Linked DNA regions of Macaca fascicularis. The protein of the gene in region 2 interacts with the protein of the main gene of each other region in a biochemical or structural test. Links are inferred from orthologs where the notes say so. Each region holds a gene or a part of one and is shown on either strand. Other genes may lie near its edges.

Region 1 (15,347 bases), on a different chromosome or scaffold from region 2:
CTGCTCATCCAGCCTTTTAGTCTATGGACTGCCAAGAGCCATAGGACCTCAGGGTGGGATGTGGCCTGGAGGGCCATCTAATCTCAATTTCCAGATACAGACCTGTGTTGGGTTGTGTTGGATTCATGAGGAAAGCTTCATAAGTTTTTGCATGTTTATAAGACTCCATCCTTGGATTCTGATCCAGTAACTCTGGCGTGGGGGCCGCAGAATCTGTTTCAAGTATCTCAGGTAATTTTGATTATAAATTACCAAGTATCCCAGGTAAATTTTGATTATAAATGCTTGCTTCCAGCAGAAAATTTAAACAGATGGAAGATGAAATCTTTCTCTCTGAATACCCCAATTCAGTTTCCACTAATGTGAATATCTTATATAACCATAGTGCATTTATCAAAATTAAAACACCAATGTTAGCACATTACTGTTAATCTCAGACTATTTGTAAGTCACCGGTTTTCCCATTGTCCCATCTGTTCTTCCTTTTCTTTTCCTTGTCATAACCACTTTTAGAGGGTTTTGAATGGTATCATTTTGTCTTCACCGTCGGCTTATTACTATACTGTACTGTTGTATTCTTTGAATGGTTGCTCTAGGATTTACAAATATGACTTCAGTATATTGCAGAACACCTTCAACAACTATGATATCCTTTCACAGATAGTGTAAGAACTGTAGCACAGAATGCTTTCATTTCCACACTTCTATTCTTTGTGATATTATTGTCACACATTTTATTTTTACATAAGCTATGAACCCCACAATGCATGTGAAATAGCCAATGTTTTTAGAGAGATTAAAGAAATTAAGAAAAAGTCTTATGAACTCGGGTATTTACTATCGTGTTGCTCCTTATTCCTTAGTGCAGATCCATTTTTCTTTTCTTTTTTATTTGAGACAGGGTCTCACTGTGTCACCTGGGGTGGAGTGCAGTGGTGTGATCTCAACTCACTACAACCTCCACCTTCTGGGCTCAACCGATCCTCCCCCCTCGGCCTGTAAGGGGATATCTGTAAAGGGATATTGGAGTTGTTGAAGGTATTTGCAATATGTTGAAGTCATATTTGTTTGTTTGTTTGTTTTTTGAGATGGAGTTTTGCTCTGTTGTCCAGGTTGGAGTGCAGTGGCGTGATCTTGGCTCACTGCAACCTCTACCTCCTGGGTTCAAGCAATTCCCCTGCCTCAGCCTCCCAAGTAGCTGGGACTACAGGCATGCGCGACCACACCCAGCTAATTTTTGTATTTTTAGTAGAGATGGGGTTTTGCCATGTTCGCCAGGCTGGTCTTGAACTACTGACCTCAAGTGATCCACCTGCCTAGGCCTCCCAAAGTGCTGGGATCACAGGCGTGAGCCACCGTGTTGGGCCTGAAGTCATATTTGTAAACCCTAATTTTTGTATTTTTTTGTAGAGACAGGGTCTCACCATGTTATGTTGGTCAGGCTTGTCTCATACTCCTGGGCTCAAGCAATCCTGTTGCCTCAGCATCCCAAAGTGCTGGGATTACAGGTGTGAGTCACTGCACCCAGCCCGTTTTTCCTTCTGCCTGAAGGAAACTTCTTTGGCATTTCTTGTATTGACAGCTCTGCTGGTGATTAATTCTTTCAGCTTTTATTTGAAAGAAATATATATTTTCACTAGGTATAGAATTTGAGACACAGGTTTTTTTTTTTTTTTTTTAAATTGTTTCAGTACTTTAAAGATGTTAGTTTTCTTATGGTTTGCCTACTTTCTGATGAGAAGTTGGCTGCTGCTCCTTTGTTTTTTTGAGACAGAGTCTTGCTCTGTCGCCCAGGCTGGGGTGCAGTCGCGCGATTTCGGCTCACTGCAACCTCTACCTCCCAGGTTCAAGCAATTCTCCTGCCTCAGCCTCCTGAGTAGCTGGGATTACAGGCGCCCGCCACTGCTCCCGGCTAATTTTAGTAGGGACAGGGTTTCACCATCTTGGTCAGGCTGGTCTTGGACTCCTGACCTCGTGATCCACCCGCCTCAGCCTTCCAAAGTGTTGGGATTATAGGCGTGAACCACTGCGCCTGGCCTGCTGCCCTCTTGTATTTGTTGTTCTGTGTGGAATGTCTCTTTTTTTCTGGTTGCTGGGAACATGGGCTATTCCCACCCCTATGTGAGCTCCAGCTGCTTGGTCTATTGGTTTCACCCTTCCTATTTAGTACTTGGCCAAAGACTCCAGGAGACCCTTCAGCTCTCAGGAGCTTGCTCTGTGTGGCTTCCTCCTCTCGTCCTCCTCTGCCTTCAATTCTGCCTTGGTCTTTTTTGTTTGTTTGTTTTTTGAGTTGGAGCCTTGCTCTTTCACCCAGGCCAGAGTGCAGTGGCATAATCTCTGCTCTCTGCAACCTCCGCCTCCCTGATTCAAGCAATTCTCCTGCCTCAGCCTCCTGAGTAACTGGGATTACAGGGGTGCACCACCACGCCTGGCCAGGTTTTGTATTTTTAGTACAGACAGGGTTTCACCATGTTGGCCAGGCTGGTCTCGAACTCTTGACCTCAGGTGATCTGCCCACCTCGGCCTCCCAAAGTGCTGGGATTACAAGCATGAGCCACTGCGCCCAGCCTGCCTGGGTCTTCCTAAACTCTGACTTCTGTCTCTTCAAGTCCCAGAGACTACTAGACTCTGGAGTCTCTCTTTACCTTTTGGCCCAGAAACTGCTTCTGGGTAGTAATCTGGGGCATTTGTTGTGCTTACCTGTTTCCCTTTTCCCAAACACTGCCTGTTGTCCTATGTCTGAAAGCAGTAGTTGTTTCATGTATTTTTCTTGATTTCGTAGTTGTTTATAGCGTGAGGGAAATTCTTATTTATTATTAAAGAGACAGGCTCTTGCTGTGTTGCCCAGGCTGATCTCAAACTCCTGGGCTCAAGAGATCCTCCTCCTTCAACCTTCCAAAGTACTGGCCACTGCACCCAGCCAGGGAAATATTTTTTTTTTTTGAGACAGAGTCTTGCTCTGTTGCCCAGGCTGGAGTGCAGCGGTGCAATCTCGGCTCACTGCAACCTCCGCCTCCTGGGCTCAAACGATTCTTGTGCCTCAGCCTCCTGAGTAGCTGGGACTGCAGGCCCGCCACTGCACTTAATTTTTGTATTTTTAGTAGAGATGGGGTTTCGCCGTGTTGGCCAGGCTGGTCTTGAATTCCGGGGCTCAAATAACCCGCCCGTCTTGGCCTTTCAAAGTGCTGGGATTCCAGTTGTGAGCCACTATACCTGGCTGGGAAATTCTTGTAACTGTTAATCCTTTATATGCAGAAGTGGAAGGTCTCCCCTTAGTGTTTCTGGGCTCACTTGTAAGTGGAAGCCTGTGAATCTTCTAGTTTTGGGAATTGTTTTCACATTGACTTGCTGAGTTTTCTACTCAGAATGGATGAGTATCTGATGGCAATTTTGGGGGTCTCTGGCTTATAGCACCATAAAAACTCCCTTTTCTTCGCCCTGCTGCTCTCTCAGAGGTATTGTGTCTATGAAGGCTTTGGCCTACTCCATGTTCTAGGGTCTCTGGGTTTCTTTTGCTGTCACAGTTGCTTTGTTTTTGCAAAAGGATTAAAAAACATGTGGCTGCTAGCGCCATCTGGCCCTAACCAGAACTCTGTTCCTTTTAAGTTTCCCTTTCTTTTATCTCATTTGGGCTTGGCAACTGCGTTCAAGTCTTACAGATAGTGTTTCTATTTGACTAGGCTATTTTGTGGTAACTAATTTTGGGGTCTCCTCTTACCCCAGGAATGGTTAATGTGTTGCCACTCTAAGCATAAACAACTATTATGGTGCAAACTTCATTTAACTCCCAATTATCTTAACCGATCCTTGGTGGTGTGAGTTACAAATAGAGTACACAGCCACGGACCCGTTAACCTACCAGCAACCCAGAGTGACACGGGACTAGTTCCTTCTCGGTAGTTACTTGGTGACAGCAGCTGGCACCATAGGAAGCCCAGGCCCAGGCTTGAGGAGCACAGAGCATGCATATCAGGGAGGCAGATGTGGATGTGGCTCAAGGATTCGGTGTAGAACTCTACGCTCAGTAGTGCACGCGAAGATGCCTTCCTGGGCTTTGCTTTTCTGAGTAATGAAGGGAAGGAAGCAGCTGTTTTCATGTTGGTCTCAGAAGGCTTGGGTTTTGTGGAGTGACTTGGGAGGCTGACTGGGCCAGGCCATGGCCTCTCTATCCTCACCTTTAACCAAAGTGGTTTCACTTTTTTGCATGTTACATAGTATGATCAGATTTATTTTTTTTAAAAAGGGGGTTTTGCTGCTGAAAAAGGAGGGAAGGACAAGAAGTAGGTAGACTAGGGGTCCTGAGGCAACTGGGCTGACCTTTTATCTGGGCCGATTCATACAAAGGTTTGGTGTGAGAAGCACCCTTGGATTATAGCTGAGATCCCCCCAGCTCCCACCCTGATGCTACAGTGGGGAGTAACTCTTGAGACAGGCCAGACCCAGGTGCTGGCTTTATGTTTGCACAGTCCTGGGCAGTGCTTCTACCTTCTGAGCGCTTCCTCATTAGTGAACTGGGGACACCCACACAAGGTTCTTGTGTTGCTTAAATTAGTGAGTGTGTGAAAGATCCAGGGTAGTGTCTGGCTCACTGCAGGCTCAGTGATGGCTGTGGCGATTGTCAGGGTCACAGGGCCTCTGCTGAAAACCTGGTTCAGGGTCAGTTAGGTCTCCCATCACAGGGCCCTCCTTTCCCTGACAGCGTCAATAAACTGAATGAATTGTGCCCACTTTCTGGGCCAGCCTCATAGCTATTGGTGTCTGGTTAATATCACCTTGCATCTGCATGGCATTTTGTGGGTCACCAGATGCGCTAGCTCATTTGAGTCCTGCAGCCATCCTGTAGGGCAGACTGTATTAGTCCCATTCTGCAGAAGAGGATGTGTACGGAGAGGTTGAGCAGCAGAGCCAGGGCTACAGTCCTTGTCACCAAAGGCTGAGTCCAGTGCTCTGTATGGTGCTTTCAGTATAAACTGAATCAAAGAGATGCTCATGCAGTGACAAGCCACCTTTGTGGGTGGGGTTGAGCCAGGCCATCACAGCCATGGCCTTTGTGTACGTTGTTCTAGTGCGTGGACCGACAAGAGTCAAACTGAGCTGGCGGGGTGGGGTGGGAGGTGGTTAGGATAACGCAGCGGGAATTATAAGCAATATGACTTTATTTAGTTACTTTGGAAACAAAACCCCCCAAATAATGCCTGAACCCAAAGGTACATAAAAATGGCCCAAAATAGTTTAAAATAGATTTGAACTTCATTTGCAGTTTCTTCCTCATAACATGAGCGCTTTCAGCTGGACAGCAGATTACAAAGCATCTCCGATAATTAAGGCAGATGATCAATCTGTGGCTGCATCTGTAACTCCTCCTGGGAAAACAATCCTGTTGGAGTTGGGGGCTCTTCCCAGTTGTTTGGTCAGTTGGCCCAGGAAGGGGCAGTCCTGGCGCTGGCGGGTAGGGAGCCAGGCCCCACCTGTCTTGTCACTGCTCGTTCTGCTGGCCCTCTGTGACTGACGCTGACACGGAGCCCTGGCCCTTGTTGACATCACTGATGCACACCCACTGCCCGTCAACCGACTCCTTCCACAGGGTCACCTGCAAGTCAGTGCACAAGCAGATTATCATGGGTCTGAGGCCTTCCCTCCGCTGTCCCCTAAATATGAGCCTCATCCCCATCAAGAACCACTGCCCAGAGGCTTGTGGATGAACAGAGCATGTCCCTCCTCCACTGAAATCCCACCAAAATGAGAGTCCAGGAATAAAAACTCACAGAAAAAAAGGAGTAACAATAATAGCAGCTGTGGATGATGATGTCAACACAGGATAGTGTTTTCACCAAACTGTGACAGAGCTACGGTAACAGGATATGGGGTGGCAGGGAGCAGGGTTTGTGAAGTGTGGTCCCCAGACCAGAGCATCGGTCACCTGGGAACTTGCTACAACTGTAGATTCTTGGGGCCTGGAACAACTGATTAAGAAGCTCTCGGGGTGGGGCTGGCAATCTGTTTTAACAGGTGTAACAACGCTGCAGTTTGAAAGCTACTGTGGTAGAGGAAGGTAACATTAGTATGTTGTTTCTACACTGAAGTAAACTGTGTAAGAAATAGCTAAGAGCTGAAAAGATTTGCCCCTGGAGAGTGAAAATTAGGAGGCTGCATTAAAAAAAATCAATCTAGGCCAGGTGTGGTGGCTCCCAGCAGTTTGGGAGGCTGAGATGGGTGGATCACCTGAGGCCAGGAGTTCGAGACCAGCCTGGCCAACAAGGTGAAACCCCGTCTCTACTAAAAATACACACAAAAGAACTAGCCGGGCTTGGTGGCAGGCACCTATAATCTCCCAGTGGGGAGGCTGAGGCAGGAGAATCACTTGAACCCAGGAGACGGAGGTTGCAATGAGCCAAGACTGCCAGTACACTCCAGCCTGGACGACAGAGTGAGACGCGATCTCAAAACAAAACAAAAAACAAAAACAATCTAAAGCTATGTACATATATTAGTTTCATTAAAAATGAAAATAATGATTTTGATTTTAAGAACTCTTGCTTTAGGGACACACTTTATTCACTCAACACACTGCAGAAAACTCTCGGATTGAAAACACTAAGTCCTTTAACTAAGGGTGCTATGGAGACAGCAAAAGGAAATAGGCTTATAAAGAAGGAAAGAGCAAGAAGCCTAAATGCATAGTGACGGGGACCCCAAAACATTGCATGTACAGCCAGGCACTTGCTTACAGCCTTGTAAAAATCACTGTGGGCCTGCTTGAGGCAATCTGGTCCCTTGGTCTGTCCTGAGTGCCATCAAACCTGGGTTCTAGTCCTGACTGGCACTCACTAGAAATATGGCTTTGAGAGGGGGCCTGCTAGATCTTTCTGGGACCACTGTAGATGAAAGGGACCCTCGGTCAGAAAAGCTGCCTGCAGAGGCTCTCAGATCTGCATGCCCATGTTCACAGCTGCACTATTCGCAATAGCTATGAGGTGGCAGCAGCCCAGGCGCCCGCTGGTGGAGGAATGAGTGTAGAAATGGGGTGTAGGCTGTCCATACAATGCAACACTACTTAGCTTTACAAAGGAAGGAATTCTGACACGTGCTACATACAGCATGGAGGCACCTTAAGGGCATACTGCTAAGTGACATAACCCAGTTGCAAAAGGACAAATACTGTATGATTCCACTTAGGTAGTTCCCTAGAGCAGTCACATTCACATAGACAGAAAGGAGAAGGGTGGCTGCCAGCGCTGGGGGGTGGGCAATGGGGAAGGGAGTTATTTAATGGGTACGGAGTTTCAATTTTGCAGTTGAAAAGAGTTCTGGAGATCAGCTGCTGCTCTGCCTTGCCTGTGTTGGTTGTGCTGTGAGCTACACAAATGAAAGGTAAGACATGGAGCCAAAGTGGCCACTGGGAAACAGTAAAAGACCAACACAGGCAAGGGAGAGAAGCAGCAAGGGCTGGCAGGATCCAGACCAACTCGCACTTCAGACGCAGAGCAGATGTGCCTGAAAACGTAGCACAGCCACTCCATGTGGAACTGACCCTGTGGAGTTAGGGATCCTCTGTCTTACAGGGGAATTCAGCTGGGCAGATGGCCGTGGCTTGTTACTGCTTCCTTTCTGCGAGTAATTTTTCCTTCTAATTGTAAAATACACGTAACATAAAATGATCTTGGCCATTTTTAACTGCACAGTCCAGTTGTGTGAAGTACATTTGTATCCCTGTGCAGCTGGTCTCCAGAACTCTTTTTAGCTGCAAAATGCAAACTCTTTCAATGCACCCACTGTGTACCTGACTCTTACCAGCATAACAAGTATTCATAAACTCTACAGATTTTTAAAAAGCCTTTTAAGTGTTAGGGACAAAAAAAAGTCCCCAATCTTCTCGCTTTTGTTTATGGGTTCTCATACACTTACTTTTTTGGCACAGCTAATTGAACATCGCCATGAGGTGACCAAATGGTTAGCAGGGTGATGAGCCTGACTGGCCCTGCCACCTCATAGTTTTGGGACCCCCATGCAAGTCAAATCGCCTCTGTCAGCTTCTTTCCTCATCTGTGAAAGGGGGACATACCAATACTACCTTGGGGGCTGTGACATTAATGATGTAACTAAGAGGCACACTCAGCACACAGCCCTGGCTGAGGCTCCTTCCCAGCCTGCAGTCAGGTGGGAATGTCAAGTGCGCTCTCTAGTGGGCGGGGTGAAGACCAACAGGCCATGTCCACCAAGCCGTGGGGAATGGGTATGTACCTTATTGTCTCCACCGGAGACAGCCAGGATGTTGGCTGTGATGGACCAGCTCACATGCCACACCACATCATTGAACTTGTGCAACAATTTAGGGGACCACGTATTGCCTGAGGCATCATCACAGGTCCAAATGAACACACGACCGTCCTAGGAAGAAACAGGATAGAGTCAGGAGATGGGGGCGAGGCTGTGTTTGTGATGTCCTCCCCATCTAGAGCCACGCAGCACCTCTCTGCAGGCACAGGGTGGGGGATTCAAAGGGGAGCCAAGGACCTCTGGGGCATCCACAGCTTTGCTTCTGTCTCTTCACACTGGTCAAGAGTGTCCCGGATTCCTTTTCTCATCCAGGTTTCGGAGGTGGACTCTGCGTTGCTAACTCAGATTTTCTCTGGGGTTTTCCTGATGCCTGCTAAGTCACCTCCACTGGCTATCTATACCTTCTCAACTGAATGGGCAGAGCTCTCCAAAAACCAAGCTCCGAGAATGAGAAGGCACAAGTGAAAAGGCACAAAAATCTCAAATTTAGAACCAAACCAAACAGGTTCCTATGATATGAAAGGCCTGGCTGGCTCCCTCTAGGGTGGTGGCATATAACTAAAGGCTCGCCCTTGGTGGTCCTTGCTGTCTGGGAAGGGTGGCTCGGTAGCTGAGCCTAGAATTCCCATCCCTTCCCATCCCGCCCCATCGTTGCTTGGGAACACTCGGAACTGCACCTGGGCACCTTGGCTCCCTAGTGTCACAACGGGCGGGAGGGAAAATTCATCCCGAATCCACCTCCTGCTTGGTGCTGGTTCTGTTGTAGCTCTCTCATCTCAGTGGAGGCAGACCACTTGTGGCTTCTGACCCAGAGTTCCCCACACGATGACCTGACTCCCTGTGCTCTGGGCCAAAGGTGCCTGTTGCTCTCCCTTTACCTTCACAGAGGACTTTCCGCTAAGGAGACTAAGAGCTGATGGGCCTGACTCGAGACTACATGACAAGAGATGCTCTCATGGCCCTGGGCTGACCTGGGAGCAGCTGGCGATGGTGCTGGTGGGCAGGCCGATGGAGGGGGCCCAGGCCACATCTCGAACCCAGTCACTGTGCGCTTCTAGCTTCTGCTCCTCCTTCCACTGGCCATCCTCCTCCTCCCTAACAGCGGGGACAGAAAGAGAATCAGCAGGGAGCCACCTGGGGGCCTTTCCCACACCTCAACTCCTCCCCTACCCAACAGGATCTGCCTGGGGTGGAGAAGCGATTCCATCTTTCTTCTTTCATTCATGGAGTTTGTGGCATTTTATTCCCTTCACCCCAGCCATAAAAAAAACCCTCCAGGAAATGCTCTGCTTCCACAGCCAGAGAGTCAGCTCCAACAGTTGGGAATTAGGTGAACAGGTGTTGTGTTGTTTTTCAAGGATGTCCTTCGACAGATTGAAAACAGTATTTTACTGGCAGGAGGGAGAAAGAAAGGTGACTTTGTTTCTTGTGAGTGTGGCTGAGTCATGGTGAGTAGGGTAAAGGGCAGAAATGTCCCCTTAAATAGAAAGTCACATTTCCCTACTTACTTCCACAGCTTGATGAGGTTGTCACAGCCACCTGATGCAAACCTCTTGATGTAATTGGGTTTCTGTCCCGAAGGCTGGTCTATGAGGCTTCCAGGTACAACAGCAGGGGCCCAGCTGACGGCATTGCAGCCAATCTGTAAAGATGGAACACATGGTGACTCTGCCTTGCAAGAGAACACTGCTTTCGCAGACCCAAGCCTGCTGTCCCTCTCTCCTCCGCTTCTCAGGACTGGACTGTGTGTGAAGGCTGACATGAAGCACTCATCATGTGGTCCACTGCTCAGAATTCTCCCTCAAGGATCCCAACAGTGTGTGCATTTCTCTGCAGTGTGCACTAAAAGTAGAAATTAAGAACTCCCACAAATTTAAGAAACAGGACATTTTTTAAACACATGAAAGAACAGTACATTGGAGCTTTTTTAAGAAAAATCTTTTATTATAAATGGATCAACAAAAATTCTGCCACCTGCCTGAAAAGCCCTGTCATTATGCCCTTCCTAATCACAGCTCCCTCTACAAGTAACCACTGCCCTGACTTCTAACCCAGTTTCCCCCCTTTTATCGCCCAAATGTGCATCCCTTGACACTACAGTCTTATCCATTAAACATTTTTTTGGATTTTTTTTTTTTACATCTCCTACTTTGCAGATTCCTCCTCTGATTTTTTTCCTTACAATTTTTCTGAAGAGAGTCTAGTTTCTCGGTCTGGGTTTTGTTGCTTTATATGCAGTTCAATATGTTCCTCTGAATTCCTGAAAACTGTCAGCTGGAGCCAAGACTGGAGAGACTCAGGTGTGATCCCTTTGGCCAAGACTAGAGCTGGTGTGTTCTCTCATCAGGAGGCACGTTAGATTGTCTCTTATATTAACAGCTGTCAATAACTCAGGCTTCTCTGAATTCACTGGGTCTTGCAAAATGGTGATACTCTAATTCTATCCTTTCTTTGTCATTTATTCCATGGAATGCTCCAGATAGGGGTACTTCTCATTAACTATTTGGTTACCCGGGGTAGAGGTCTGATACGGTTTGGCTGTGTCCCTACTCAAATCTCATCTTGAATTCCCACATGTTGTGGGAGGGACCCAGTAGGAGGTAACTGAATCACGGGGGGAAGTCTTTCCCATGCTGTTCTCGTGATAGTGAATAAGTCTCATTAGATCTGATGATTTTAAAAATGGGAGTTTTTCTGCACAAGCTCTCTTTTTTGCCTGCTGCTATCCATGTAAGATGTGACTTGCTCCTCCTTGCCTTCTGCCATGATTGTAAGGCTTCCCCAGCCACGTGGAACTGAGTTCTCCATCCTCTTTCCTTTGGAAATTGCCCAGTCTCAGGTATGTCTTTGCCAGCAGCGTGAAAACAGACTAATACAAGGTCAGAAAGGAAAGCCTGGATAAACGCTTGATTCTTTCTGAACTGGTTCTGTCACTTTCCAAAGATGACTGATTCTCCTCTTTATTTATTATTAACAAAAACTTTTTTTTTTTTATTGAGACAGGGTCTCACTGTCACCCAGGCTGAAGGGCAGGTTGGTATGATCATGGTTCACTGCAGCCTCAAACTTCCTAGGCTCAAGCGATCCTCCCACCTTGGACTCCCAAATTACTGGGATTATAGGTGTGAGCCACTGCCTTTTTTTTTTTTGTTTTTTTTGAGACGGAGCCTGGCTCTGTTACCCAGGATGGAGTGCAGAGGCGCGATCTTGGCTAACTGCAACCTCCACCTCCCAGGTTCAAGTGATTCTCCTGCCTCAGCCTCCCATGTAGCTGGGATTGTAGGTGTGTGCCACCACGCCTGGCTAATTTTTGTATTTTTAGTAGAGATGGGGTGTATTAGTCCATTTTCAGGCCGCTGATAAAGACATACCTGACACTGGGTAGTTTACCAAAAAAAGAGAGGTTTAATGGACTCACAGTTCCACATAGCTGGGGAGGCCTCACAATCATGGCAGAAGGCAAGGAGGAGCAAGTCACATTTCACATGGATGGCAGCAAAAAGGGAGAGAGCCTGTGCAGGCGAACTCCTCCTCATAGAACCAGATCTTGTGAGACTTATTCACTATCAAGAGAACAGAACAGCATGGGAAAGACCTCCTCCTATGACTCAACCACCTCCCACCAGGTACCCCCTGTAACACGTGGGCATTCAAGATGAGATCTGGGTGGGGACACAGACAAACCACATCATGGGGTTTTGCCATGTTGGTCAGGCTGGTCTTGAACTCCTGACCTCAGGTGATCTGCCTGCCTCAGCCTCCCAAAGTGCTGGGATTACAGGTGTGAGCCACCGTGTCCGCCGTGGGCCCAGCCTTTTAACCCTCATTTCATCTTAGTTCTATATATTTATGCTGAAGTCTTTGTAGTCATTTTTGTTGTGTGACATGTATCCTCTAGTAGATTCCGCAGGAAGGGCTCCTAGAAACAGTAGTCCCTGAATTTTTTTTTTTTTTTTGAGACAGAGTCTCGCTCTGTGGCCCAGGCTGGAGTGCAGTGGCGCGATCTCGGCTTGCTGCAAGCTCCGCCTCCCAAATATTCCCTGAATTCTTGCATATTGATAATAGTTCATATTCTTTACACTTGAAAGCTAATTTTAAAAACAGCTTTGATATGGTATAATTGACATAAACTGCATATCAAGTGCATGATTTGGTGAATTTTGACAAAAATATACCCTGTAGGATCATCACATCACCTCAATCAAGATAAGGAACATGCCCATCATTCCAGAAAGTTTCCTCGATCCCCTGGTAATCCATCTCCCCATCTTGCAGTCCCCAATCTTGGTGACCACGGGCCTGCTCAGCTGCACTTCCTAGATATTACAGCAGTGGAATCACAGTGTGTCCTTTTTTTTCTTTTTTTTTCACTCAGCATAATTATTTTGAAATGTATTCATCTTCTTATTGTGTTAAGTCATTTCTTTTTAATGCTGGCAGTATTTCCAAAGTATGGATATATCACAACTTATCATTTACCTGTTGATGGACATGTGGACTGCTTGCAGTTTTTGGCTAGTAAAGCTGCTATAAACTTTTGTGTATAAGTCTTTGTGTGCACTTGAAAGTCAATTTTCCTGGTTATAAATCCCTGGCCCATACTTTCTTTCCTTGAGTATTTTAAACATGTTATTCTTTTTTCTTCTGCACCAATCCTTACTATTGAAAAGTCTGACAATAACCTAATTGTCTTTTCTCTTTAAGTCACAAGGTTCCTTTTCTCTAGAACCCCTCAAAATTTAAAGTCTAATAATTTTACTAGAATTACATCTTTTAGTTGGTGATGCTGGGTTTTTTTTTTTTTAAGAGACAGGGTCTCACTATGTTGGCCATGTTGGTCTTGAACTCCTGGCCTCAAATAATCCTCCCACCTCGATCTCCCAAAGTGCTAGGATTACAGGCTGAACCAGCTCGCCTGGCCTTGTTTTTTTTTTTTTTTGAGACAGAGTCTTGCTCTGTTGCCCAGGTTGAAGTGTAATGGTGTGATCTCGGCTCACTGCGACCTCTGCCTCCCAGGTTCAAGCAATTCTCTTGCCTCAGCCTTCCGAGTAGCTGGGATTACAGGTGTGCGCCACCACGTCCGGCTAATTTTTGTTATTTTTAGTAGAGACGGGGTTTCGCCATGTTGGTCAGGCTGGTTTTGAACTCCTGACCTCAGGTGATCCGCCTGCCTCAGCCTCCCAAAGTGCTGGGATTACAGGCTGAGCCACTGCACCTGGCTGATACTGTTAAGTGTAGGGCATGATCTCTCAATCTCAAGTTTCAAATCTTTGTTTTTTAATTTTAAGAAAGTTTTCTGGATTACTTTTTGGTATTTGTTCTGTTTTCCTTTCCAGGGACTCCTGGTATTCATAGGTTTGACCTTTCTGCCTGTCTTTTTTTTTTTTTTTTTTTTTTTTTTTTTTTTTTTTTTTTGAGACGGAGTCTCGCTCTGTCACCCAGGCTGGAGTGCAGTGGCCGGATCTCAGCTCACTGCAAGCTCCGCCTCCCGGGTTCACGCCATTCTCCTGCCTCAGCCTCCCGAGTAGCTGGGACTACAGGCGCCTGCCACCTCGCCCGGCTAAGTTTTTGTATTTTTAGTAGAGACGGGGTTTCACTGTGTTACCCAGGATGGTCTCGATCTCCTGACCTCGTGATCCGCCCGTCTCGGCCTCCCAAAGTGCTGGGATTACAGGCTTGAGCCACCGCGCCCGGCCGTTCTGCCTGTCTTTACTTTTGCTCAAAACCTTTTTACCTCTTCACTTTTTTGCTCTTGAAATGTTTCCTTTTTCACACTGTTTATCCTTTTCAGGCAGGATCTGCTGTGTTTATCGACACTTGCATTTCATCTAACTTAGTCTTTACTTCTGAAATGATTTTTATTTCTAATTCTTTCCTGAGTTCTGTCGCCTTATTTCTGATTTTTAAAATGTTGATTTATGCTATTCTCTCATGCTTTGTATTGTTAGAATGTCACCTGGCTTGATTTGAAATAGCGGGTTACAGTTTGGCTCTGTTATGTGGGCGTATCTTTCTAACGTACTCTCACTGTCCACAGGGAGGGTATTTTGCGTATTTTTGTTTCTTATATAATAACTTTGTATGATGCCGGGCGCGGTGGCTCAAGCCTGTAATCCCAGCACTTTGGGAGGCCGAGACGGGCAGATCACGAGGTCAGGAGATCGAGACCAATCCTGGCTAACACGGTGAAACCCCGTCTCTACTAAAAAATACATAAAACTAGCCGGGCATGGTGGCGGCGCCTGTAGTCCCAGCTACTCGGGAGGCTGAGGCAGGAGAATAGCAGGAACCCGGGAGGCGGAGCTTGCAGTGAGCTGAGATCCGGCCACTGCACTCCAGTCTGGGCGACAGAGCGAGACTCTGTCTCAAAAAAAAAAAAACCAAAAAAACAAAAAAAAACCTTTGTATGCAATTTCACTTCAAAGACTTTTCTGTTATTTTTAGGTCAGATGAGTTTTCCTGATAAGAAAGGCTCAGGAAAGTCTAAGCTCAGAACTCTCCCTCGTTTCTGTGTAGTGTTAAAAAATGTGGGAGATGGCTTTCAGGAGTTCCTGTCTTTGTTTCTCTTCCCCACGTTGGTCTATCTCATCCTTCCTTTCCTGTGTCCCTATCCAGCTCAACTGTGATTTCATTTCCAGCAGTTCCTCTTCCTGAGGGGGCCTGTCCCAGAGGCTTGCTCTGGAGGATCACAGAGCTCAGATTTCTTCCCGCCCCTTCAGCCTTTCTTATTGTGGGCCGCTTGCATTCACTTGGTGTTAGAGTGCAAACCCCTCCCAGTCATTTCTCCGAAGATACACAAATAGCCAATAAGCCCCCAAAAGATGCTTACCATCATCTTTGATTAGCAAAATGCAAATAAAAATCACAATAAGGGCTGGGTGCGGTGGCTCACACCTGTAATCCCAGCACTTTGGGAGACTTAGGCAGGCGGATCACTTGAGGCCAGGAGTTTGAGACCAACCTGGGCAACATGGTGAAAGCCTGTCTCCTGTTGTGGCGTGTGCCTGTAGTTCCAGCTGCTCAAGAGGCTGAGGTGTGAGAACTGCTTGAACCTGGGAGGCGGGGCTTGC
Region 2 (15,247 bases):
GCATGTTCTCACTTATAAGTAAGAGCTAAATAATGAGAACATGTGAACACATGGACGGGAACAACACACACTGGGGCCTATTGGAGGGTGGGAGGAGAGACAGAATCAGAAAAAATAATTAATGGGTCCCAGGCTTAATACCTGGGTGATGAAATAATCTGTACAACAAACCCCCATGACACAAGTTAACTCATAAGTTTGTTAGATAACAAACCTGCACATGTACCTCTGAACTTAAAATAAAAGTTAAAAAAAAAATTTAGACCCTCTGTGCCAGAAATTCCTCTTCTATGACTCCAGTTCAATTTAAATAATCAGAAATTTGTACAAGTCTTTAGGCACAACAAAGGTGTTTATCATTATATAAACAAAGGTGTTTATTTCTATTTGGAAAATACTGGAAACTACCTAAACATAACAAAATAAGGGAAACATTACATCTTCTTACCATAAAATATTATAGAGCAATTAAAAAAAAATTTTTTTTTTTTTGAGACAGAGTCTTGCACTGTTGCCTGGGCTGGAGTGCAATGGCGTGATCTCGGCTCACTGAAACCTCTGTCTCCCAGGTTCAAGTGATTCTCCTGCCTCAGCCTCCCTAGCAGCTTGGATTACAGGCGCCCGCCACCAAGCCTAGCTAATTTTTGTATTTTTAGTAGAGACAGGGTTTCACCATGTTGGCCAGGCTGGTCTTGAACTCCTGACCTCATGATCTGCCTGCCTCGGCCTCCCAAAGTGCTGGGATTACAGGCATGAGCCACCGCGCCCGGCCACAATTAAAAATTTTAATAAGGCCAGGCACAGTGGCTTACGCCTGTAATCCCAGCACTTTGGGAGGCCGAGGCAGGCAGATCATGAGGTCAGGAGTTCAAGACCAGCCTGGCCAACATGGTGAAACCCTGTCTCTACTAAAAATACAAAAATTAGCTAGGCGTGGTGGCGGGCGCCTGTAATCCCAGCTACTCGGGAGGCTGAGGCAGGAGAATTGCTTGAACCTGGGAGGTGGAGGCTGCAGTGAGTCAAGATCACACCACCGGACTCTAGCCTGGGTGACAGAGCAAGACACCATCTTTAAAATTAATAATATATAACAAAACAACAAAACTAGAATAATCATGCCAAACTGTCAACAACTATTTCCAGGTCAAGGAACTATGAATGAGTTTTTTAAATTCTTTGCTGTTTTCTGCATTTCAGTTATCTATAATAACAGTGTATTGTTTTTATAATTAGAAAGATAAATACGTTATTGCTTATTTTTAAAATAACATACCCTGGTAATTTTGCTTTGGGATTTTGCGAAGTATTTCTTCTGGGTTCGGGCCAAGAGTTCTTGTCCACCTGCTATGGCCAATATGATGGCATCGGCCATGCGGTTATCATGTAAACAAAGGTCAACAGCACTCTCAAAATTGCCTGTTAGCAAAGCCTGAGTAATTAAACCATCAATGTCTGCAACAAGAAAATAATACATCCAAGTTAAATATTGAGTTTTTGTTACCAAAACCAACAACAAAGTACTACATCTATCAATTTTTATACACATACATGAATGGAGACCACAACACTAATTTCTGATTACTAGTGGATTAATTTCTAACACAAGCTATTGGTATTTATGGAAAAGATCTACAGAAATATGCTGAGATAAATATAAAATAATACATTTTCCAGACTGCTTTAACTGGAGTATCAAAGATCACGTAGGTGTCTGAACACACCAGCCTTCCCACGACACTGATTGCATATACGGTACTAAAGGAAAAGTGAGTTCTTTCTCACACTGTACCACCTGTGACAAAACTTTTTTTTTTTTTGAGATAGCGTTTCACTATATTGTCCAGGATAGCCTCAAACTCCTGGGCCCAAGCGATCCTCCTGCCTCAACTTCCCAAGTAGCTGGGACTATAGGCATGCACCATGGCACCTGACTTGAAGCATTTTAACTTAAATGCAGGAACTATTTGTTTTCCAATGGTTAAAAAAAATTAGAAATCAAAACCAACAAGTACTTACCCCCACTGACAGAGATATTAAATGTTCCTCCAGATGAGGGTAGAAATTCAGATTCTTCTTTTTCCTCTTTAATGTGCTAAAGAGATGAAAAAAGCAACAATTTAGCCAGAATAAAACTGTGGAATGATTTACTGACAAAAAAAAATTTACACATGATTCTTCATCTACAGACTAGATGACATACCAAGTTATTCCAGAAAAGTTCTCAGATCCAAATTTACACTAAGATCTATGACTTCCCTAAATATTACCTCCCATTATATAATCATAAATAAAATCCAAGGTCATGAAGAATACTGGTTAAGCAGGCTGGGCACAGTGGCTCACATCTGTAATCTCAGCACTTCAGGAGGCCAAGGCGGGCAGGTCACTTGAGGTCAGAAGCTCGGGACCAGCCATGCCCAACATGGTGAAACCCTGTATCTACTAAAAATACAAAACTAGCCGGGCATGGTGGCGCGTGCTTGTAATCCCAGCATTTTGGGAGGCTGAGGCAGGCAGATCACAAGGTCAGGAGATCAAGACCATCCTGGCCAACATGGTGAAATCCCATCTCTACTAAAATAAAAAAAATTGACCAGGAGCAGCGGCTCATGCCTGTAATCCCAGTACTTTGGGAGGCCGAGGAGGGCAGATCACGAGGTCAGGAGATTGAGACCATCCTGGCCAACATGGTGAAACCCCATCTCTACTAAAAACACAAAAATTAGCTGGTGATGGTGGTGGTGGTGTGCACCTGTAGCCCCAGCTACTCGGGAGGCTGAGGCAGGAGAATCACTTGAACCCAGGAGGTGGAGGTTGCAGTGAGCTGAGATTGTGCCACTGCACATCAGCCTGGCGACAGAGCAAGACTCCGCCTCAAAAAAAAAAAAAAAAAAAAAGAACACTATTAAACAAACTAACGTGTACATATTCATTACTGGTATCTCAGTAATGAAGCCGAAGAATCTTTGTTTTCTTAGGTAACTATGAGTGGCTCAAAATATGGAAAATATATTTTTATTTTTATTTATTTAATTTTATTTTTTGAGAGGGAGTCTTGCTCTGTCTCCCAGGCTGGAGTGCAGTGGTGCGATCTCGGCTCACTGCAAACTCTGCCTCCTGGGTTCACGCCATTTTCCTGCCTCAGCCTCCTGAGTAGCTGGGACTATAGGTGCCTGCCACCATGCCCGGCTAAGTTTTGTATTTTTAGTAGAGACAGGGTTTCAACATGTTAGCCAGGATGGTCTCAATCTCCTGAACTCGTGATCTGTCCTCCTCAGCCTCCCAAAGTGCTGGGATTACAGGCGTGAGCCACCATGCCAGGCTGGAAAATATATTTTTAAACTACACTATTTTAAAATTTTAAAACAAACCTGCTTTTACACATCTAAGAATTCCTGTCCACTACATTTGATTATAAGGTGCTTTTGTTTTAACTGAATCATAAAAAAAAAAAAAGAATAAAAAATCACTTGGTACCCACAACGTAAAAGCAATATATTATTTATTAATACACTTAAATTCAAGTATACATTTCGTTTTCACTCAAATTAGTCGTACCTGGAACAGTGGGCTAGTCTGGTAAAAATAAACACAGTTCTGTTATAATTTCTGAGACTACCTGCAAGACTGATTAAAAATAAACTCAATGCTTTCTTTAGAAAAAATATAATGGAAGCATTTTGCAGGCAAATAATTTTAAACGCTTTCTCTCCCATGCATAAAAATTCAAAATAAGACAAAAATATATCAGAGATTAGAGATAAATTTTTAAAGAAAAACACAGCTTTCTTACATGAGATGAAATATCTATCTTCCGTGCTATATTATCTACACATCTGAATGTAAATATCTAGTATTCAAAGTCAGTGGCACTTTACAACTGGGTAATTTTAATGCAGAGTACAGCACTGCACCATCTGCAAATACACTTAATTATTAATGTTGACTATTACAGGAGAATATCTATAACCCTAATTCCCTTTCCCCAACTAAAGAGAAGCATTTGGAATTTAAAAACTCCAAGAAATTAAGAATTTAAGTTATTCACATTAAGGAATAAATCAGACACACTGATCTAATTACATTCACTAACAAACTTGCATAAAAATACTTTTTTTTTGAGACAGAGTCTCACTCTGTCACCCAGGCTGGAGTGCAGTGGTGCATTCTCAGCTCACTGCAAGCTCCACCTCCCTCCCGGGTTCACGACATTGTCCTGCCTCAGCCTCCCGAGTAGGGACCTGCCACCACGCCTGGTTAATTTTTTGTATTTTCAGTAGAGATGGGGTTTCACCGTGTTAGCCAGGATGGTCTCAATCTCTTGACCTCGTGATCTACCTGCCCTGGCCTCCCAAAGTGCTGGGATTACAGGCATGAGCCACCGCGCCCGGCCATTTTTCTTTTTTTTAAGTCACTATTTCTCCAATTTGCTTTCTAGAAATGATTTATCCTTATTTATGGACTTCTGAACTAGATATAAGGTCAAAAAATGCACAATTTATTAGGTAATGAGTGCCTTCAATGTGTAAGCTACTATGAAACAAATAGCTCATCAAGACAAAGGGGAAGATTTTATCTCCTTAAACACATTTTTTTCAAAGAACCAAAGTACACATTGATGACTACTATTTCATTAAATGCATATTTTCCTTACCTATTATTCATGAGTGCATTCCCAAATGACCCTCTATTTGATAATACATAGTCTAGCTGTACATAAATGAAAGTACATTTCTCTATGTATCTTACAATTCTGTTTAAATATTCTCAAAATTAGTTCTTTTCTTTTTAAAATCAGACAAGGTCTTGCTCTGTCACCCAGGCTGGAATGCAATGGTGTGATCATAGCTCACTCCAACCATGAACTCTTGGTTCAAGTGATCCTACCTCAGCCTCCCAAATAGGTAGGACTACAGGCATGTGCCATCCTGCTGGGTTAATTTCTTTTTGTTTTTTTAGAGATGGGGTCTCACTATGTTGTCCAGGCTAGTCTTGAATTCCTAGCCTCAAGTGATCCTCCCACCTTGGCCTCCCAAAGTGCTGGGATTACAGGCATAAGCAAACATCATGCCTGGCCTAGTTCAAATTTTTAGTAAGATTTTATCCACATTCTTTATTCTCTTGTTAATAAACTCTAGGAGATCCACTTCTAAGGAGAATGATTTTTGCAATCATCTTGTAATAGACTAAATTTACTGAATTATTTTTATAACTTAGTAAAAAATTATACAAAACATTCCATAGTCAAGATATTGCAAAGAACAATGAAAAAGCCAAAGATGAGATGAGAAGAACTTGTTGATTAATTTTCCAAGATGATATAAAATTAGAAAGCAAGAAAAGTAAATTATAGATTTGTTCATTAGTGGTTAAAAAAAAACACCCAGAAAATTAAAAGGAAAAATTAATGATGTAACTCTGTGTTCAAGGACTCTTCTTATTTACAACAATTATCAACTAACGACACATTTATTGAAAATCATGACTAAGTTTAGTGAAATATCCTTTACTTCAACTCCATGTTCAGTACTAATTCAGAGGCCTATGCCACTGATAGTTGGCCCAAAATTATAGGCCAAAAAAAGACATTAACTTTACATGCAACACAATGAGGATTTCTGAATAAAATCTCTTTTCAGTTTGACATCCTGATAGTCATCTGACCAAATTATGTTAATCTCACATCAACTGTTAGTTTTAAACCATATAATCCAGAAACAAGGTTGGAGAACAAGAGTCTGGAGATGATACTTTTATCAGTATAGGTAAATAGATTCCTATCCTAAACATCTCAAAGAAAACAATTTATTTCAACTTAATTTTGCCACAAGTAGTCAAGAAAATTTTTCTTATTTTAATGTGAGATACACAAATATCACAAATTTGTCCAGTATAATATGAAAAAAAAAAAAAAATAAGTACCTCTCCCAAGAGCTGCTCTTCAGCAGCAGGGCTCTCCTCCCCATCACTCTGTGCTACTTGGTCAGAGTCTTTAAGAGCCTTTGGTACACAAAACAATTACAGGGGAAGGTGAAAAATGTAGCATTAAAAGGCTGTTAGTGAACCAGGAAGACAAAAGACCCAACCAACAACATTCAGAGCTAGTTTAATCATAAAAAGCAACAGTGAGTAAATTTATTTGAGAATCACCATTAGAGGAAAAGTAAAGAACTATTACTGCTAACACTTTCCCATTCTTTTTTTTTGAGACAGTCTTACTCTATCACCCACGCTGGAGGTCAGTGGCACGATCCCAGCTCACTGCAACCTCCGCCTCCCGGTTCAAGCAATTCTCCTGCCTCAGCCTCCCAAGTAGCTGGGATTACAGGCATGTGCTACAACATCCGGCTAATTTTTGTATTTTTAGTAAAGACAGGATTTCACCATGTTGGTCAGGCTGGTCTTGAACTCCTGACCTTGTGATCTGCCCTCCTCGGCCTCCCAAAGTGCTGGGATTACAGGCGTGAGCCACCGCACCCAGCCCACTTTCCCATCAATTTTTTTTCCCCCGGCAAAAAAACAAACAAACAAAAAACAACAACAAAGAAAACTTTAAGTATTTGAGTAGTCATTAATTCTGTTTTTCCTCCTTTACAAAATTCAAATATGTATGTCAAGAGAAAGGAATGTTCCACCAGCTAAGCTCATGCTATTTTTAAAATGAGAATTATTAACTTATTAAAATATCTAGAATAAGCATTTATTTTTATACTATGAACCATAAAACACAAATTTCTTAAATGATATTTCCTTCTTTGTTATGACCTAGCCAAAGTTTTAGAAGGTAGCTATTTTTAAAGGCCTTCTTACCACATCGGCTCCATCCACTTTGTTCAAGGCCAAAGCAATCTGAAATAAAAATAACAGCTCACCTACTACATGGAATTCTATTTCAGAGCATCCAGCAAATGTTCACCTCTTGCTTCTCATTGGCGAAAATCCACAAAAGTTCTTATAGGAATAGTATGTTTAAAAAAACAATAAAAGCTATAACTGGTTCTCCACGGTTCTAGCTTCTTTCACACGGAAGTGATTAGAAATAATCTGACAATCATTCTATTTCCTCATTTTCTGCCATCAGGCATGCAAGTATAACTTTCATATATTAATCTCTTACAAGCCTAAAAAAGTTACAGCCTCAAGAAGTTTAGACTACGAATAAAGTTAAATATAAAACTCTAAAGGAGTGAGCAAAGACACAGCCACTAAGGAGTGGGGTTGTGATGTGATCTTAGTTCTGCTGGACATCAAAAGAGCACTAAACTTCAATATGCACTTACAGTGCACGGTATACCTCTATCACACATGCAACAACCTGCAATGTTACAGAAAACTCTTGTCATTTCCAAAGAATGATGAAAGGCTAATACAAGTATGTATTCAAAACTCTGGCAACCACTGTGGGTAATAATGGAGAATAAAAAAAGAAAAAAGAAAAAATGCTGGCAACCAAACACAAATTAGTATTAAATGTTTATTGGGTGATTTAAGATAATCTGTGTCAAACTTTATTTTTTTAAAGTGTGATTCATAAACAGCATGCCATCTAACTTTCCCGAAAGTTTACCTTCTTTCCTAGATCTTCTTTCCTGTATCCTAGAAGTTCAAGGTATTTTCCACGAGAATCATCCTCAAAGTTCACCTTTTAAAAAAAAGACATATTCTTAAAAGAAAGACCTACATTTAAAGGCCAACTTTTTATAAGAATGAATCAAATTCCAAAGAGAATTATTAAAATTATCTGAAGTCTACATTCTAAAGATTCATTGTTAGAACGAATCTAAAGAATAGTGGGTTTTTTGGTTTTTTTGTTTGGAGACCTAGCCTCAGGAGGTCCTGAGAACATGTGCCCAGAATCATTTTTTTAAAATAAGTGATTTTTTTAATAGTAAATATACTAGTAATTAATTATCCTGGTTGAATAAAGTTTACTTTTGAACAGTAAGTTTTTTAAATACAAACTTATGTTCAAAGGTTAAATTGATACAAAACTCAAACTATGTGGAATATTCTATGTCCTAAAATTCTTTCCCAAAATTATTACAAAATATAAATTATTTAATTTTAGACTTTACCCTACCGTATTCAAGACTGCTTTACTTGAAAAATCAGTACTGTATAAAGAAATAGACATTCCAGTGCAGGCAAAATGACCAACAAGGAAATTCTATTTGTTACTCTATCCTAATTCCTCTTAAAGTAAAAGGAAAAATGCCTCCAACCTCTCTCCTCTATTCCTCTTCCTTTTTCCATTTTCCTTAACTAGATCTAATATAGATATTAAATATTCTATGTTTTCATTATAGTAAACTCTATGTACTAATCTTCAAAATAGGTATGCTGACTATGTCTCTCTCCTCTAAACAGATCTATTTTTGTTTTCTTATTAAAAATGTATTTCGTATTACACTTTTCAAAGTAGAGAAGGAAAAACTCTGGACACAGGTTGTATGCTCTTTATAAGGCTTCTTAATTTCATGATGAATTGCTGAAATCACACTTTTTCAATTCTTTAAAAGGAAGACAGATTTAGAATATAATGGAACAGTTAAATTTGCAGATAATGAAATAATACAGCCTTAAATAGCAACTTTACCTTCAAAAAGGACCACACATTTTTCTCAAATTCAGTCTGAGAAGCATCAATTTTTTTTTGGCAATAATTGATAAATCCTTGTGACTGCACAGCCTGCTGAAGTTGGTCTGACCGGCTGAGGAACTCCTTTTCTGTTACAACCTGACTAATGAACACATGGTGCTGCTGCTGCTGCTGCTCAGCTCCCTGATGAGAAGGCATTCTAACATTCTCAAATGTAACCAGTTTGCCTCCAAACTATAAAAGAGAGAATGAACAAACTCAGTGTTAACCCGAGGATATGGCCAAAAACAGTGCTTATAAAGTGGCCTAAACAGATAATCTGGATGAAATTAGTTGATACCACCTCTCATGCGCCACAGTCTGACATCACTTCAATTTCTGTTCTAGATGAAATGTACTTTTTTTTTTTTTGAGACAGAGTTTCACTCTTAGTCACCTAGGCTGGAGTGCAAAGGCGGGATGTTGGCTCACTACAACCTCTGCCTCCTGGGTTCAAGTGATTCTCCTGCCTCAGCCTCCTGAGTAGCTGGGATTACAGGTGCCAGCCACACGCCTGGCTAATTTTTGTATTTTTAGTAGACAGGGTTTCACCATGTTGGCCAGGCTGGTCTTGAACTCCAAACCTCAAGTGATCCACCCAGATACAGAAGACCAGATAGGATGATGAGAAGATTAAGCAGATCCAAAGAACAGACTTATGAGTGACATAAAACATATTCAAAGGTCTATTTTAGGAAGATTAATCTTGGAATATGTAGTAAAGATTAGAGAGGAAAAAGACAAGCAACAAATATGCAATCAAGCTATTAGAAGTCTGGTGTGAAAGAATTAGGCAAAGTGTCAGCAATGTAAAAGGAAGAAAGAAACAAACAAAAAGTGCTAGAGAGGATGTGGAGAAACTAGAACCCTTGTGCACTATTAGTGAGAATGTAAAATGGTAACGGTATAGAGGTTCTTCAAAAACTTAAAAATAGAACCATCGTACGATCCAGCAATCCCACTTCTGGGTATATGTCTCAAAAAACTGAAAACAGGATCCCAAAACGATAATTACAAACCCATGTTCACCACAGCATTTATTCACAATAGCCAAAAGATGGAAGCAACCAAAATGACCATCAAATGAAAGGATAAAAAAAATGTGGTATATATATACAATGCAATATTATTTGGCCTGTAAAAAGAAGTAAATTCTGTCATGCTACAACACAAATAAACCTTGAGGACATTAAGCTAAGTAAAATAAGCCAGCCACAAAAAGACAAGTACTGCATGATTCCATTTATATGAGTAATTTAAAGTAGTAAAACTCCTAGCAACAAAGTAGAATGTGGTTACCAGGGATTCAAGGGAAAGAGGAAATGGGGAGCTGCTGTTCAAGGGCACAGAGTTTCAGTTTTGCAAGATGAAAAAGTTCTAGAGATCTGTTGCACAACAACATGTATATAGTTAACACTACTGTAGTATATATTTAAAAATGGTTGTAGTGTATATTTAAAATGGTTAAGATAGTAAATTTTATATTACGTATTTTTTACAATAAAAAAAGCTGACAATTAAAAAAGAAAGCTAAAAGGATGAAGAGGAGGGAGGACACTCCCTGTGAAAATAAAAGAAAAGAAAAGAGAAGAGAAGAGAAAAGAAAAGAAAAAAAGAAGGGAGGGAGGGAGCGAGGGAAAGAGCTAGAGAGACAGAGAGAGAGAGAGAGAGAGAGAGAGAAGGAAGACACATTTAAAAAAAAGGGAGGAGGGCCTGGTACAGTGACTCATGCCTGTAATCCCAGCACTTTGGGAGGCCGAGGCAGGTGGATCACCTGAGGTCAGGAGTTCGAGACCAGCCCCAGTCAACATGGTAAAACCGCATCTCTACTAAAAATACAAAAATTAGCCAGGTGTGGTGGCGTGCACCTGTAATTCCAGCTACTCAGGAGGCTGAGGCAGGAGAACTGCTTGAACCCAGGAGGCGGAGGTTGCAGTGAGCCGAGATTGCGCTAGTGCACTCCACCCTGGGCAACAGAGCAAGACTCTGTCTAAAATAAAAAAATATTTAAAAAAAAAAAAGTGGGGGGAGGAACATAGAGTGTTGGCTACACAACAACAATGTAAATGTACTTAATGCCATTGAACTGTACATTTGAAAATGGATAAAATGATAAATTTTATGTATATTTTACCATGTTTTTAAAAAAGGGAAAAAAAAGAGTAGGTTCCAGTTTTTCAGAGAAATCATTTTGAATGATGCAATACCCACAAATACATCTCAAATCCCAACTTAAACCCCGACTTCTTCCATCAGAGTGATCCTGTAATAACACTTTGGTATAAAAAGTCCTTTGTGACTATGGACCATAAAAACAAAATCCACCTACTGAAAAAGAAGCACCAACAGGCCTTCGAATCCACTTGGGCGGCTTCTTCAGAGGCAACACTATACTATGCTGAGCAGTCTGCTGTGGAATTTGTAATGGAGGAAGGGGCTGTCCTGTGCCGAAGGGATCAAGATTCCCAAAAGATGATGAAAGCTAAAAAAGATTAATAACATGAGAATCTGACCATACACAAACTATCTTTCATTTTTTTCCAGTCATATCCAAAAAAATTTTTGATCACAATTGTCCAATTAACCAGCAATGTTAATCAGTGAAGTCATTTCAAAATATTACACAACATGTACTTTTTTCAGGCATTATAATAGAAAACTTTAACACTTCCTATTACCTTGTCAACTTGTTTCTGTCTTAAACCGTCTGTGCTTCCTCCCATGATAGAATAAACACTGATACGCCCATCAAACGAAGCAGCTGATAAGACAGCAGGATTTCGGGGACACCACTGAATATCGAAGCACCACTGTGTGTTGGTGGGAAGTTCATATAACACCTGGGCCAACAAAAAACAAACAACAACACTCAGAAAATGGTGGTGTGGGGAAAAGAAAGAGAGATCAGACTGTTACTGTGTCTATATAGAAAGAAGTAGACATGAGACTCCATTTTGTTCTGTATTTGAGATGCTGTTAATCTGTGACCCTACTCCCAACCTTGTCCTTGCAAGAGACATGTGCTGTAGTGACTCAATAAATACTGAGGGAACTCAGAGACCGGTGCCGGCGTGGGTCCTCTGTATGCTGAGTGCCGGTCCCCTGGGCCCACTTTTTCTTTCTCTATGCTTTGTCACTTTGTCTCATTTCTTTTCTCAAGTCTCTCATTCCACCTCACAAGAAACGCCCACAGGTGTGGAGCACCAGGCCACCCCTTCATCTGGTGCCCAACGTGGGTGCTTTTCTCTAAGGTGAAGGTACGCTCGAGCGTGGTCATTGAGGACAAGTCGACAAGAGACTCCCGAGTATGTCTACAGTCAGCCTTGCGGTAAGCTTGTGCGCTCGGAAGAACCTAGGGTAACAATGGGGCAAACTAAAAGTAAATATGCCTCTTATCACAGCTTTATTAAAATTCTCTTAAAAAGAGGGGGAATTAAAGTCTCTACCAAAAATCTAATTACGCTATTCCAAACAATAGAACAGTTTTGCCCATGGTTTCTGGAACAGGGAACTTTAGATCTAAAAGACTGGGAAAAAATTGGCAAAGAATTAAAACAAGCAAGCAGGGAAGGTAAAATTATCCCACTCACAGTATAGAATGATTGGGTCATTATTAAAGTAGCTTTAGAACCATTTCAAACAGAAGAAGATAGCGTTTCAGTTTCTTATGTCCCTGAAAGCTGTGCAGTAGATTGTCAAAGAGGCAGGGATAGAATCCCGGAAAGGAACAGAAAGTTCCGGTAATGGCTCGGTCAATGCAAAATGTTGACGATAATCAATTACAGGAGGTGATATATCCTGAAATGTTAAAGTTAGAAGAAAAAGGTCCAGAACTAGCAGAGCCATCAGAGTCTAAACCACAGTGGCCAACTCCTCTTACAGCAGCTCAGATGCCTGTAACTTTACAACCTCAAATGCAGGTTAAACAAGTACAAACTCCAAAAGAAGATCAAATAGAAAAAGATAGAGTCTCTGTCATGGCAATGCCAATCCAAATACAGTGTCCACAATATCAGCCGATAGAAAGTAAGACCCAGACGCCAGTAGCCTATCAATACTGGCCGCCAGCCAAACTTCAGTATCTGCTGCCCCCAGAAAATCCGTACAGACAGCCAGGAATGTTTCCAGCGCCACAGGGCAGGGCGCTATAGCCTCAGCCGCCCACCATGAAACTTAATCCTACAGCACCACCTAGTGGACAGGGTAGTGCATTACATAAAATTATTGATGAGGCAAGAAAACAAGGAGATATTGAAGTGTGGCAATTCCCAGTAATATTAGAATCAAGACCATCTGGAGCAGGGGCCCAAGAGGGAGAGCCTCTCGTAGCTGAAGCCAGATATGAGTCCTTTTCTATAAAAATGCTAAAAGGAATGAAAGAGGGAGTAAAACAGTATGGACCCAACTCTCCTTACGTGAGAACATTATTAGATTCCATTGCTCATGGACATAGACTCATTCCTTATGATTGGGAGATTCTGGCAAAATCATCACTCTCACCCTCTCATTTTTTACAATTTAAGAGTTGGTGGATTGATGGGGCACAAGAACAGGTCCGAAGACATAGGACTGCCAATCTTCCAATTAACATAGAGGTAGATCAACTATTAGGAACAGGTCAAAATTGGAGCACTGCTAGTCAACAAGTAATAATGCAAAATGAGGCCATTGAGCAAATTAGGGCTATCTGCCTTAGGGCCTGGGAGAAAATCCAAGACCCAGAAACCGCCTGCCCCTCCTTCAATACAATAAGACAAGGCTCTAAAGAGCCTTACCCTGATTTTGTAGCAAGGCTTCAAGATGCTGCTCAAAACTCAGTATCAATCGGCTCAAAGGGCAGAGTTGGTTGCAGTCATTAAGTGTTACAAGATTTTAATCAACCTGTTAATATTGTATCAGATTCTGCATATGTAGTACAGGCTACAAGGGATGCTGAGACAGCTCTAATTAAATACAGCATGGATGATCAGTTAAACCAGCTGTTCAATTTATTACAACAAACTGTAAGAAAAAGGAATTTCCTATTTTATATTACTCATATTCGAGCATACACTAATTTACCAGGACCTTTAACTAAAGCAAATGAACAAGTTGACTTACTGGTATCCTCTGCATTCATAAAAGCACAAGAACTTCATGGTTTGACTCATGTAAATGCAGCAGGGTTAAAAAACAAATTTGATATCACACGGAAACAGGCAAAAGATATTGTACAACAACCCAGTGTAAAGTACTATACCTGCCCACTCAAGAGGCAGGAGTTAATCCCAGAGGTCTGTGCCCTAATGCATTATGGCAAATGGATGTTACACATGTACCTTATTTGGAAAATTATCATATGTTCATGTAACAGTTGATACTTATTCACATTTCATATGGGCAACCTGCCAGACAGGAGAAAGTACTTCCCATGTTAAAAAAACATTCATTATCTTGTTTTGCTGTAATGGGAGTTCCAAAAAAAATTAAAACTGACAATGGACCAGGATATTGTAGTAAAGCTGTCCAAAAATTCTTAAATCAGTGGAAAATTACACACACAACAGGAATTCCTTCTAATTCCCAAGGGCAGGCCATAGTTGAAAGAACTAATAGAACACTCAAAACTCAGTTAATTAAACAAAAAGAAGGGGGAGACAGTAAGGAGTGTACCACTCCTCAGATGCAACTTAATCTAGCACTCTATACTTTAAATTTTTTAAACATTTATAGAAATCAGACTACTACTTCTGCTGAACAACATCTTACTGGCAAAAAGAACAGCCCACATGAAGGAAAACTGATTTGGTGGAAAGATAACAAAAATAAGACATGGGAAATAGGGAAGGTGATAACCTAGGGAAGAGGTTTTGCTTGTGTTTCACCAGGAGAAAATCAGCTTCCTGTTTGGAAACCCACTAAACATTTGAAGTTCTACAATGAACCCATCGGAGATGGAAAGAAAAGCGCCTCCACGGAGACGGAAACACCGCAATCGAGCACCATTCACTCGCAAGATGAACCAGGTGGTGATATCAGAAGAAAAGATGTGCAGGAAGTCAGGGACCCTGAACGAAGGGACCAGCTGAAGCCACGGCAGAAAAACATAAAATGTGAAGATTTCAAGGACACTTATTAGTTCCCCAAATTAATGCTTTTATAATTTCCTATGTCTGTCTTTAATCTCTTAATCCCATCATCTTCTTTGTAAACTGAGGAGGATGTATGTCACCTCAGGACCCTGTGATGATTGTGTAAACTGCAAAAATTGTTTGTAGAGCATGTGTGTTTGAACAATAGGAAATCTGGGCATCTTGAAAAAAGAACAGGATAACAGCGATGTTCAGAGAACAAGGGAGGTAACCTTGAACTGGCCGCCGGTGAGCCGGATGGAACAGAGCCATATTTCTCCTCTTTTTAAAAGCAAATAGGAGAAATATCGCTGAATTCTTTTTCTCAGCAAGGAACATCCCTGAGAAAAAGAGTGCGCTCTGAGGGTAGACCTATAAACGACCCCCTCAAGGCGTGCTGTCTTTTAAGGTCAAAGCCCAAGGGATGAAATAAGCCCTAGTCTCCTGTAGCACTCCCAGGCTTATTAGGATGAGAAAATTCCCACCTAATAAAGTTTGG

What was found.
Region 1: the proteins of SEC31A (region 2) and SEC13 form a complex in vitro, tested with the Homo sapiens proteins (2 studies listed by BioGRID and IntAct, with this or other methods). The link is inferred for Macaca fascicularis from reciprocal best matches to the Homo sapiens genes SEC31A and SEC13.

Annotation. Positions count from the first base shown.
Region 1 is NC_088376.1:148,611,602-148,626,948, forward strand, and holds the end of SEC13 (protein SEC13 homolog), read right to left. Parts: intron 14,393-15,347; exon of another isoform or gene 13,981-14,392; intron 13,648-13,980; exon of another isoform or gene 13,583-13,647; intron 9,920-13,582; coding exon 9,786-9,919; intron 9,373-9,785; coding exon 9,249-9,372; intron 8,389-9,248; coding exon 8,242-8,388; intron 5,591-8,241; coding exon 5,477-5,590; 3' UTR 5,139-5,476; downstream 1-5,138. UniProt on the Homo sapiens protein: Functions as a component of the nuclear pore complex (NPC) and the COPII coat. At the endoplasmic reticulum, SEC13 is involved in the biogenesis of COPII-coated vesicles.
Region 2 is NC_088379.1:50,979,263-50,994,509, reverse strand, and holds part of SEC31A (protein transport protein Sec31A), read right to left. Parts: intron 11,479-15,247; coding exon 11,317-11,478; intron 11,121-11,316; coding exon 10,968-11,120; intron 8,834-10,967; coding exon 8,597-8,833; intron 7,643-8,596; coding exon 7,568-7,642; intron 6,850-7,567; coding exon 6,811-6,849; intron 6,001-6,810; coding exon 5,923-6,000; intron 2,093-5,922; coding exon 2,017-2,092; intron 1,453-2,016; coding exon 1,274-1,452; intron 1-1,273. UniProt on the Homo sapiens protein: Component of the coat protein complex II (COPII) which promotes the formation of transport vesicles from the endoplasmic reticulum (ER).